2 linked regions of the Sus scrofa genome follow. The protein of the gene in region 1 purifies or fractionates together with the protein of each later gene. This does not show direct contact. Links are inferred from orthologs where the notes say so. Each region holds a gene or a part of one and is shown on either strand. Other genes may lie near its edges.

The links. The genes of interacting proteins can lie anywhere in the genome.
Region 2: the proteins of TRMT6 (region 1) and TRMT61A purify together in Homo sapiens (affinity purification with mass spectrometry; 4 studies listed by BioGRID and IntAct, counting the BioPlex papers as one, with this or other methods). This does not show direct contact. The link is inferred for Sus scrofa from reciprocal best matches to the Homo sapiens genes TRMT6 and TRMT61A.

What each region holds. Positions count from the first base shown.
Region 1 is NC_010459.5:14,783,186-14,787,583, reverse strand, and holds part of TRMT6 (tRNA (adenine(58)-N(1))-methyltransferase non-catalytic subunit TRM6), read left to right. Parts: coding exon 1-114; intron 115-2,004; coding exon 2,005-2,132; intron 2,133-2,674; coding exon 2,675-2,766; intron 2,767-2,894; coding exon 2,895-2,978; exon of another isoform or gene 2,979-3,099; intron 3,100-3,247; coding exon 3,248-3,372; intron 3,373-4,398. UniProt on the Homo sapiens protein: Substrate-binding subunit of tRNA (adenine-N(1)-)-methyltransferase, which catalyzes the formation of N(1)-methyladenine at position 58 (m1A58) in initiator methionyl-tRNA.
Region 2 is NW_018084979.1:2,077,115-2,082,129, forward strand, and holds the start of TRMT61A (tRNA (adenine(58)-N(1))-methyltransferase catalytic subunit TRMT61A), read left to right. Parts: upstream 1-1,827; 5' UTR 1,828-2,309; exon of another isoform or gene 2,310-2,485; intron 2,486-3,494; 5' UTR 3,495-3,521; coding exon 3,522-3,852; intron 3,853-5,015. UniProt on the Homo sapiens protein: Catalytic subunit of tRNA (adenine-N(1)-)-methyltransferase, which catalyzes the formation of N(1)-methyladenine at position 58 (m1A58) in initiator methionyl-tRNA.

The DNA of each region.
Region 1 (4,398 bases):
AAAAACAGTGGTTCTATCTGGATAACGTTATAGGCCATAATTATGGAACCACATTTGAAGTGACCAACGGAGGAATTCTTCAGCCGAAGAAGAAGAAGGAAGAGCCTACTTCAGGTGCACTATACCACTTAAGATGTATGAAACTGATGATCTTTTGAGCTGGCTACTCAGAAGTCTATCAACCCCATTTGGTTCTAAATTGCTAGCCATGATCTCCCCAAAGAAATCTAAACCCATCATCTAAGAACTGCAGCTTGGTAGAGTGAATTACTGATTTAGCCTTTGGCTAATTTTTTAGATACCTTTGAGATACCTGGGTTCTGGCTCCTTCCCACCATTAATCAGCTCTTGAACTTTGGGCCAGGCATTTACTCCCTTGAGTCTTTGCAGCTTCAGTGTAAGAGCAGATATATAGCCCTTTCAGTGCCTAGAAGAACAGCTTGTGAGGTAGTTGGCACATAGGGCGAAGGATAAGATGTCTGGCTTTGAATTCAATTGACTAGGTTTAAGTTCCATCTTCATCACTTGCCTTTGTAACCTTGAGCTAGTTATTTGGTTTCTCAGGTTCATCTTTGGAATGTATTCAAATTGCTCATCTTTAAAATAGGGCCATAAACACATCTAATGCCCAACCTGTAATGAGCGTTAAAATCACATGTACACATAGGAAGTTCTTGTTTTAAAACTTTTTTTTTTTTCTTTTTGCAGCCACACCTGTGGCATATGGAAGTTTCCAGGTCAAATAGTACCTGCAGCTGCCAGCCTCCGCCACAACCACAGCAATGCTAGATCTGAGCTACATCTGCAACCTACACCACAGCTTGAGGCAATGCCAGATCCTTAACCCACTGAGCAAGGCCAGGGATTGAACCTGCATCATCATGGATACAAGTCAAGGTCCTAACCCGCTGAGCCACAATAGGAACTCCCACATAGGAAGTGCTTAACAGTGCCTTGCCTGTTAAAGTAACAGCCCTGTAATTTTAGCTATCATTAATTAAAATTAAACCCTTAAACACTTATTAAAATAAGTGTACTTAAAATTTTTAAAACAATTATTACATTTAAATAGTTGGAGTACTATTGAAGTTCCAATTCAAGCCAGTTTATTAAATACTTTAAAATTAACATGCATATTTTTCTTAAGCACCAAATATATTCCAGGCATGACTAGCCACTGTGATGTTAGCAGTTCATGAGATGGACCATCCCATAAAATTTACCTAGCAGTGGGGAACATCAAAAGTAATCAAGTAGATTAGCAAACAGCGTAATGTCAGATGGTCATGTGTGCTATGAAGATGATAAAGCAGGGAGGTGTACTGAGGGCTGGTTGAATGAGGTGAGATTTGGCTGAGATGGTGAGGTCAGAGCTGAGTGATGGATAGGATCCACCCACTTGTCATAAGCGCCCTCTAGGCAGAGGGAACAGCAAGTGCCAAAGCCCTACATTGGGACCATGCTGGTGCGTCTAAGGAATAGAAAGAAGGGCAGTGTGGCTGAATACAGGGGTTAAGAAATAAGGCCTGAAAAAGTAGCCAGGGGCCAGATCATATACAAGCTTGCAAGTCATCTTTGGAATGTATTTGAATTGCTCTAGGAAGCCACTGTGTGGTTTTGTGCATTGGAATAGATGCACCGATTTGCATTTTAAGAAGAGGACTCTGGAACTTTCCCTGTGGCTCATAATGTAACTACTCACTATTGCATTGAGTTGTCTCTGCAAGGGCCCTAGTTCGATCCCTGCCTAGGAACTTCCATGTGCCACGGTAGCGGCCACGTGTTTAAAAAAGAGAGAGAGAACTTTGATGTCCAGATGGATTGTAAAGGGGCAAGAGTGGGAAAAGGAATATGAGAGGCTTAGAGTGGTCATGTCAAGAAAGGTAGTGGATTGGGGTGGGGGCACAACTGGAAGGCCAAATTTAAGTGGCTGATGGGCTGGATGTGGATATGAATGTAGAGGAAGAAAGATTTTTAAGTAATTTTAGATCATATGTGTTACAGAGCAATTTTCTTCCTTAGAGACCAAAGAAGCAGGCACTGATAATCGAAATATAATCGATGACGGGAAATCTCAGAAACTTACTCAAGATGACATAAAAGCTTTAAAGGACAAAGGCATTAAAGGAGAGGTAAAATTCAAAGGACTTTTTGTTTCGTTTGGATTTGGTTTTCAGGAAATTGCCTGGTTTTTAAAGCACACTTTTCCTAAGGTAAAATGTAAAAATACTGTACATTTCTGTTAAAAATAGCTTGGAATGTAAATGCAATTCAGTGTAACAAAGATTTTGTTTCTTACAGGTGGGAATATAAATGAAAATGACTTATTAATATTATTAACAAAAGGGAATTTGATAACTTATCAGAGCTTAACTTTGTTCATTTTCAGTAATGTTTTCAGCCAGTGTTTTCAGGACTGACAATTTCCTTTACCTCTTTCTCCCTTTATTGTGTATCTCTGTTTTACTTGGATTTATATGGAATTATGAACTACTTATATTTTAATACAAATTCTAGATAGAGTATAAAAATATAAAGTTCATCCACTTGGACTTCTGTGGAAAAGGGCCTGGAGATTCAGACCTTTGGATACAGTCTGGGGTAAGAAACCTTTGAAGTTACCTGTGCTGTGAAAATAAAATTTCAGGAAATCTACTTGCTCCCTTTCTCATAGGAAATAGTTCAACAATTAATTGAAAATAGTACAACATTCCGAGACAAGACAGAGTTTGCTCAAGATAAATATATAAAAAAGAAGAAAAAGAAGTAAGTAGTTTTTGTTTTGAAAGGATGAAAATATGAAATCTTCCTATAGGTTTATAAAATATATCATTAAAAAATAAATTGTTTTTAAAGCAGCTTTTCAAAATTGATGCCGTTTTTTCTTCCCCCAGATATGAAGCCATGATTACTATTGTGAAGCCATCCACCCGCATTCTTTCAGTTATGTATTATGCAAGAGAACCTGGAAAAATTAAGTACGCTTTGTTTCCTTTCAAAACTATAGTTGGGGGAAAATATGTCTTTAAGAAAGTCATGATTTTAAGTAAAATGAAAATCTTGCTCATCTGCATAAAGTGTCCTCCTACTTCATAAATTGTAAGTCCTGTTTTCCTATTGCTCCAAAGCAATCAGTAATCTTAACAACATAATTTTTATGAAACAAGCAAACCAAACTTGAAAAATGATGATTAAAAGAGCAGCCTTTGCTTACCTAAAAATGAATAAATCCTCCTTTTTTCCTTAGCCACATGAGATACGATACACTAGCCCAGATGTTGACATTGGGAAATATCCGTGCTGGCAATAAAATGATTGTGATGGAAACATGCGCAGGCTTGGTGCTGGGTGCGATGATGGAACGCATGGGAGGTGAGATTTAATGTTTTCAAGTTCGTTAAAACCCCACTGTGATTTGAGTAGAGGGGTCTTAAATTCAAAGTCATGGAAAGCGAGGTTGAGTTGCTGTTAATGAGAAGTTAGTGAAACGATTTGGCTGTGCCTGCACAGCTCCAGACTCTGAGACTTTCTACACTTTCCACATCTCCCAGCCTGAGCTGTGTTGGCAACACAGTGTCCTTTCCAGCTTCTGTATCGGTGGGGATGGTTCTGAGCCTGTTTCTGACTAGTACCTCTATTTAGTAAACTCTAAGACAGCTGGTATTCATTTTTTTTTTTTTTTTTTTTAACCCATATTGAAGGGTTTGGGTGGGAAGAAAATTACGGAAGTATTTTGTCCTGAAAGAGTACCATATAGCCTGATTTGTCTGCCCTTTCTCTGACTCTTTTGAAGATAAGATGTTTTTTTTTAGGGCCGCATCTACAGTATATGGAAATTACCAGGCTAGCGGTTGAATTGGAGCTGTAGCTGCCAGCCACAACCACAGCCATACCAGATTCAAGCCACATCTGTGACCTATACCACAGCTTGTGGCCATGATAGATCCTTAACCCATTGAGCGAGGCCAAGGATGGAAACCACATTCTCAAGAATACTAGTCGGCTTCTTAACCTGCTGAGCCACAGCAGGAACTCCAAAGATAAGAATTTTTGCTTTTTGTTTTTTAGGGCTGCACCTTCGGCACATGGAAGTTCCCAGGCTAGGGGTTGAATCGGAGCTGCAGCTACTGGCCTACACCACAGTCACAGCAATGCCAGATCTGAACCACGTCTGCAACCTGCACCATAGCTCATGGCAGCACAGCATCCTTAACCCACTGAGTAAAGGCAGGGATCAGACCGGCATCTTCATGGTTACTGGTCAGGTTCGTTACTGCAGTAGGAACTCCTGAAGATAAGAATTTTTAATTGCCCTCTATGAACATTGGCCTGGGGTGTAGCTGAGAGCCAGTCACCAATCATGTGACATCACAGGGTTTTACTGTAGTGCTAGGGCAG
Region 2 (5,015 bases), on another chromosome or scaffold:
GCACAACGCACAGGGGAAGCTGGTTGGGGTCAGAAAGGGGCAGGGACTGCCTTGTGGTCACAGAGCATGTTGGGGCAGAAGGCTGAGCTGTTCAGAGTAGAGGGACCTTGGGTCACCTGATCACTGCCTGAGACGCAGGAGCGGAGCAGCCTCCCTCTGTCAGCATCCTCAGCCTCTCCCTTCCCTCCAGGGCCTTCTTCCTGCCTGTTCCCACATTTCTTCAGATCCACCACTGGTTCTCCGAAGCCAAGTTTGCTGGCTTTAAATCCCAAGCCCACGCTGGCCACTTTGGCTGCGTGACCTTAGACAAGTTTCTTGACCTCCCTGAATCTCATGCTCCCCATCTGTGAGGTGGTCCCACCCTCAGAGGCTTGTGAGGAGGATTCAAGGTGATGACACTTAATTGGGCTTATATAGCATTGGTTCTTTTTTTTTTTTTGTCTTTTTGCCATTTCTTGGGCCGCTCCCGCGGCATATGGAGGTTCCCAGGCTAGGGGTTGAATTGGAGCCGTAGCCACTGGCCTACGCCAGAGCCACAACAACGCGGGATCCGAGCCACATCTGCAACCTACACCACAGCTCACGGCAACGCCGGATCCTTAACCCACTGAGCAAGGGCAGGGATCGAACCCGCCACCTCATGGTTCCTAGTCGGATTTGTTAACCACTGCGCCACGACGGAAACTCCTAGCATTGGTTCTTTTTATTTTTTTCCCTGGTCATGTGTATGACATAGCGGAAGTTCCTGGGCCAGAGGTCAAACCTAAGCCACATCAGTGCCCCGAGCCCCTGCAGTGACAATGACAGATCCTTAGCCCGTTGCGCCAAAAGACAACTGGAGCCTTAGTTCTTTTTAGGGGCCCCTTATACACAAATGCTGTCCTGAGTAAGGTGCTCAGGTCGACTCAGGCTGAGGCCAGGGGTAGGCTCAGATTGGGGAGATGGAGCCCTCGGAGGGCTGCCTGGAGGAGAGAGCAATGGAGGAACAGGCCTGCCAGTCACGGAAGGAGAGGCAAGTGGGAAGCTGGGACCACAGGAAACCACTGGCGAGTCACCAAGTCACTGAGTCCTAATTTAGGCTCTCAGGCATTTAGCCTCTGAGAAGCAAGAGGCTGGAGAAGAGGAACCCCCACACCAAGTGGAAAGTTGAGATCTCCCAGGGGCGTAATTAGGGGCTGATTCAGGCGGGAGCAGAGTCACATGGAACAAAGGCTGGCAAGCCCTAGAGTTGGGTTGTCTCAGTGCAGGACATGATGCATCCACGCAGGCAGCTGGTGGGCAGAGCACTGGCCTCGCAGAGAATGGAGGTCATCAAAGGCTCCTCATTGTCTTGCCCAAGACCCAGGCCCAAGTCAGGGCTGGGGCACAGAGGGGCTGAAACGACGCACTTGGGTCTTTGCCATGGACTCTGAGGTCCACAAACACCCTTATCAGTCCTGGCCCCAGAGGGGGAGAGTTCAGAGGGCTCCACAAGTGGGCAGGGCCTGGCCACTCCCATTTATCCAGGATGGAGTGGCCTGGGCCAAGAAGTGTGGCCTAGCGTCATTGCTAGCTGGCCCTCGGTTAGGGCTCAGGCCCCACAGCAGCTGAGTGGGCTGCAGTCTCTATCCTTCTCTAGTCCTCAAGGCTAACAGGATAAGCCCTGGCCCGCAGGGACCAGAGTGCTGCGGGATCGGCCTCTGCACACTCTCCACAGAGGAACCGGCTCTGAATCAGCACTGCTGAGACAGAACCCGGCCGCCGCTTCCCTTTTCTGCCCCACCTCTCCAGCCACCACACTCCAACCCCACCCCCGCCCCCGCCTCCCCCGCTCCCCCCCTGCCCTGTTCTGATCCCAAGGTAAGCCCAGTTCATCCAGCGCTCATTGCACCGTGGGGACACAGAACTCCTTCCCTTCTTGAAGCAGCTTCTGCACTTGGAGAATGTGCCCCGAAGGGGAGGAACGCCAACTGCACCTCCGCAGCCCCTTCAAGGCCACCATCTCCTTCCTACTCCTCTGGCTGAGCCCGGCCAAAGCCTTCTGGACGACCCTCTGATCTGCGATCCCATTTTCTGGAATATATCCTGGGAGCCATTAAGAGGTGTCCCCAGGGCGGTTTGCAGGGACAAAACGGCCATGGCCAAGCGTCCCGCTAGGGGCTTGCGCAGCTAGCGGTGGGCCGGCCCTTCGGGGACTCCAGGGCTGTCCAAGGCTGCGAAGGGGACCCTGCCCGGATCTGAAAGGACCGCAGCAGCTCGGCGGCGGGACAGTGGGACTTCCCGTTTGTCTTCCGCAGGAGCAGCTAGAAACGCTGGAGAAACTCTGGGAGGTGCGCCCCGGACGGCGGCAAGGGGGGCCCGCGGGTCCCGGGAGCCCGCGCGCGAGGGGCGGGGCCGTGACGTCGTCAGCGGGCGCCGCGCGCCGGGCCGGAGCCGGAAGGGCTGTAGCCGCGGCGCGGAGCCACGTGTAGCGCCTCCGGGAGTCTCAACCCGAGGAACGTCGCCGGTGAGACTCCCCAGGGCTACGCTGGCAGTGCGCGGGTGGGGGGGTCGCCCTGGCGGGCGCGGCGCCCACGGCTCCCGGGCAGCCTCCCCTGGCCGCCCTCAGCGCCGTGCCAGCCTGGCCTGACCCTCCGCCTGCCTCTGCCCTGGCCAGGCCAGTGTTCTGTTTCCGTCCCGCTGCACATCCCCAACCTATGCTTGCACCGCTGTGCCACTCGTCTGCCCAGATGCCCGCCATGGGAATCTGCGGCATCGAGCCTGGCCTGGAGGTGACATCAAGGGCCATTTGCTGCTTCCCCCTAGATACTCTCTGGTTTCACAGCTGGGCAATGGGAACTCGGCTCCTGGAGAAGGGTGACTCCAGAGGACCAAGTCCTTTTTTTTTCCTGTGCCCATGGCGCGTAAAAGTTCCTTGGCAAGGGTTGGAACCAGTGCCACGGTAGTGACCCAAGTCCTGCAGAGACAACTGCCAGATCCTTAACTCACTGCAACACAAGAGAACTCCAAGGAGTTCCTGCTGTGATGCAAGAGGATGCGTGGTGTCTTGGGAGCCTGGGACCCTTGGTTCGATCCCCAGCGCAGTACAGTCAGTTAGGGATTTGGCATTGCTGCAGCTGCAGCTTAGGTCACAACTGTGGCTCAGATCTGAGCCCTGGCCTGGGAACTCCATGCGCCACGGGGCAACCGAAAATGGAAAAAACAAAAGAGAGCTCCAAGGGTCAAGTCGTTTCTTTGTGGGAATCCTTGGGCCTCTTCTCTGCCAGTGCCAGGCCTCAGTCTCTCCGTCTGTGATTTGGGCTGATGGCTTTTGTCTCATGCCCAGACCAAGAAGGGCTTCAATCGTCAGGCCAGGGTGCAGCCCTTTTGGGCTGCCCTAATGGACTGTGCCAGAGGCTGAGACAGCTACTCCACCCGCACTGCTCAGGAGCTGGGCCTCACCGTCTTCTGCGGGGACTTAAGGTACACATCCTGCCTCCTGTCGCCTTACATGTTCATGTCCACACACCTAACAGGTCCCTGGCACTTGCCAGACAGCAACCATGAGCTTTGTGGCGTACGAGGAGCTGATCAAAGAGGGTGACACAGCCATCCTGTCGCTGGGCCATGGTGCAATGGTGGCCGTACGTGTACAGCGTGGGGCCCAGACCCAGACCCGGCACGGCGTCCTGCGACACTCGGTAGACCTCATTGGCCGCCCGTTTGGCTCCAAGGTGACCTGCGGCCGTGGTGGCTGGGTGTATGTGCTGCACCCGACGCCCGAGCTCTGGACGCTGAACCTGCCGCACCGGACGCAGATCCTCTACTCCACTGACATCGCCCTGCTCACCATGATGCTGGAGCTTCGGCCTGGCTCTGTGGTCTGTGAGTCCGGTGAGTTCCTCAGGCCGCCTCGGCTCCTGAGGGTGAATGTCAGACCCAGTGTCCATCCAGCCTCTAGTCTGCGCTTCCTGAACACAGGCGTGACTCTTCACCCTCTATCTTCATGTATTTACTTATCTATTTCCTTTTGAGGGCCACACCTGAGGGCATATAGAAGCTCCTGGGCTGGGGATGGAATCAGAGCTGCAGCTGCCAGCCTATGCCACAGCCATGGCAGCACCGGTTCCTTACCCCACTGAGTGAGGGATAGAACCCACATCCTCACAGACAGGATGTCGGGTTCTTAATGCTCTGAGCCACAATGGGAGCTCCTCAACTTCTGTTTTGGTTTTGTTTTGGGTTTTTTTGTGTTTTTAGGGCCACACCCTGCGGCATATAGAGGTTCCCAGGCTAGGGCTCTAATAGGATCTGTAGCCTCCAGCCTATGCCAGAGCCACAGCAACGGGGGATCCGAGCCACATCTGCAGCCTACGCCACGGCTTATGGCAGTGCTGGATCCTCAACCAGCTGGGACCAGGGTTCGAACCCGCAACCTCATGGTTCCCAGTCAGATTCGTTAACCACTGAGCCATGACGGGGACTCCTCCACTTCTGTTTTAACAGGATCTTTCTCAGGGGCTGACTGCAGGGAGTGAGGGCAGGAGGAAGGAAGCCTGGGGGGAGGCTGGTGCTATAATCTGAGAATCGATGGAGCCGGATCAAGAATAATGTTGCCAAAACCCTCCCCCGCGAATCTCCATGTCCAAGTTTTGGGTGAAGAAGAAAAGAATAGCTTTATTGCTTTGCCAGATGAGGGGACACCGCTGCTGATGCCCCCAAAACAGTGTGTCCCCACCCACAGAGGTTTCAGTGAATTTTATGGCAGTGGCTCAGGGCAAGTTTGTGATAAGAATCAGGGTGTGTGCAGGGCCTGCATTCCTTTCATCCGGCCTCGGGGGTCTCCTGGTGAGCTTCTGTGGTTCTAAAGGTTATCAAACTGTGACCTCTCTGGAATGAAGGACGCTTTATCCGGTACTTAACCTTTTTCCTTTGTTGGAGTTTCAGTTCTGCCCAAGAGCTCAAAGGTGCTGTTATGTGAATCAGTGTCCAGGAGCCGCACAGGGTCCTGCTGGGTTTCAGCAGCCCTCCGTAGGAGCTGGGCACACTGGCGTCGC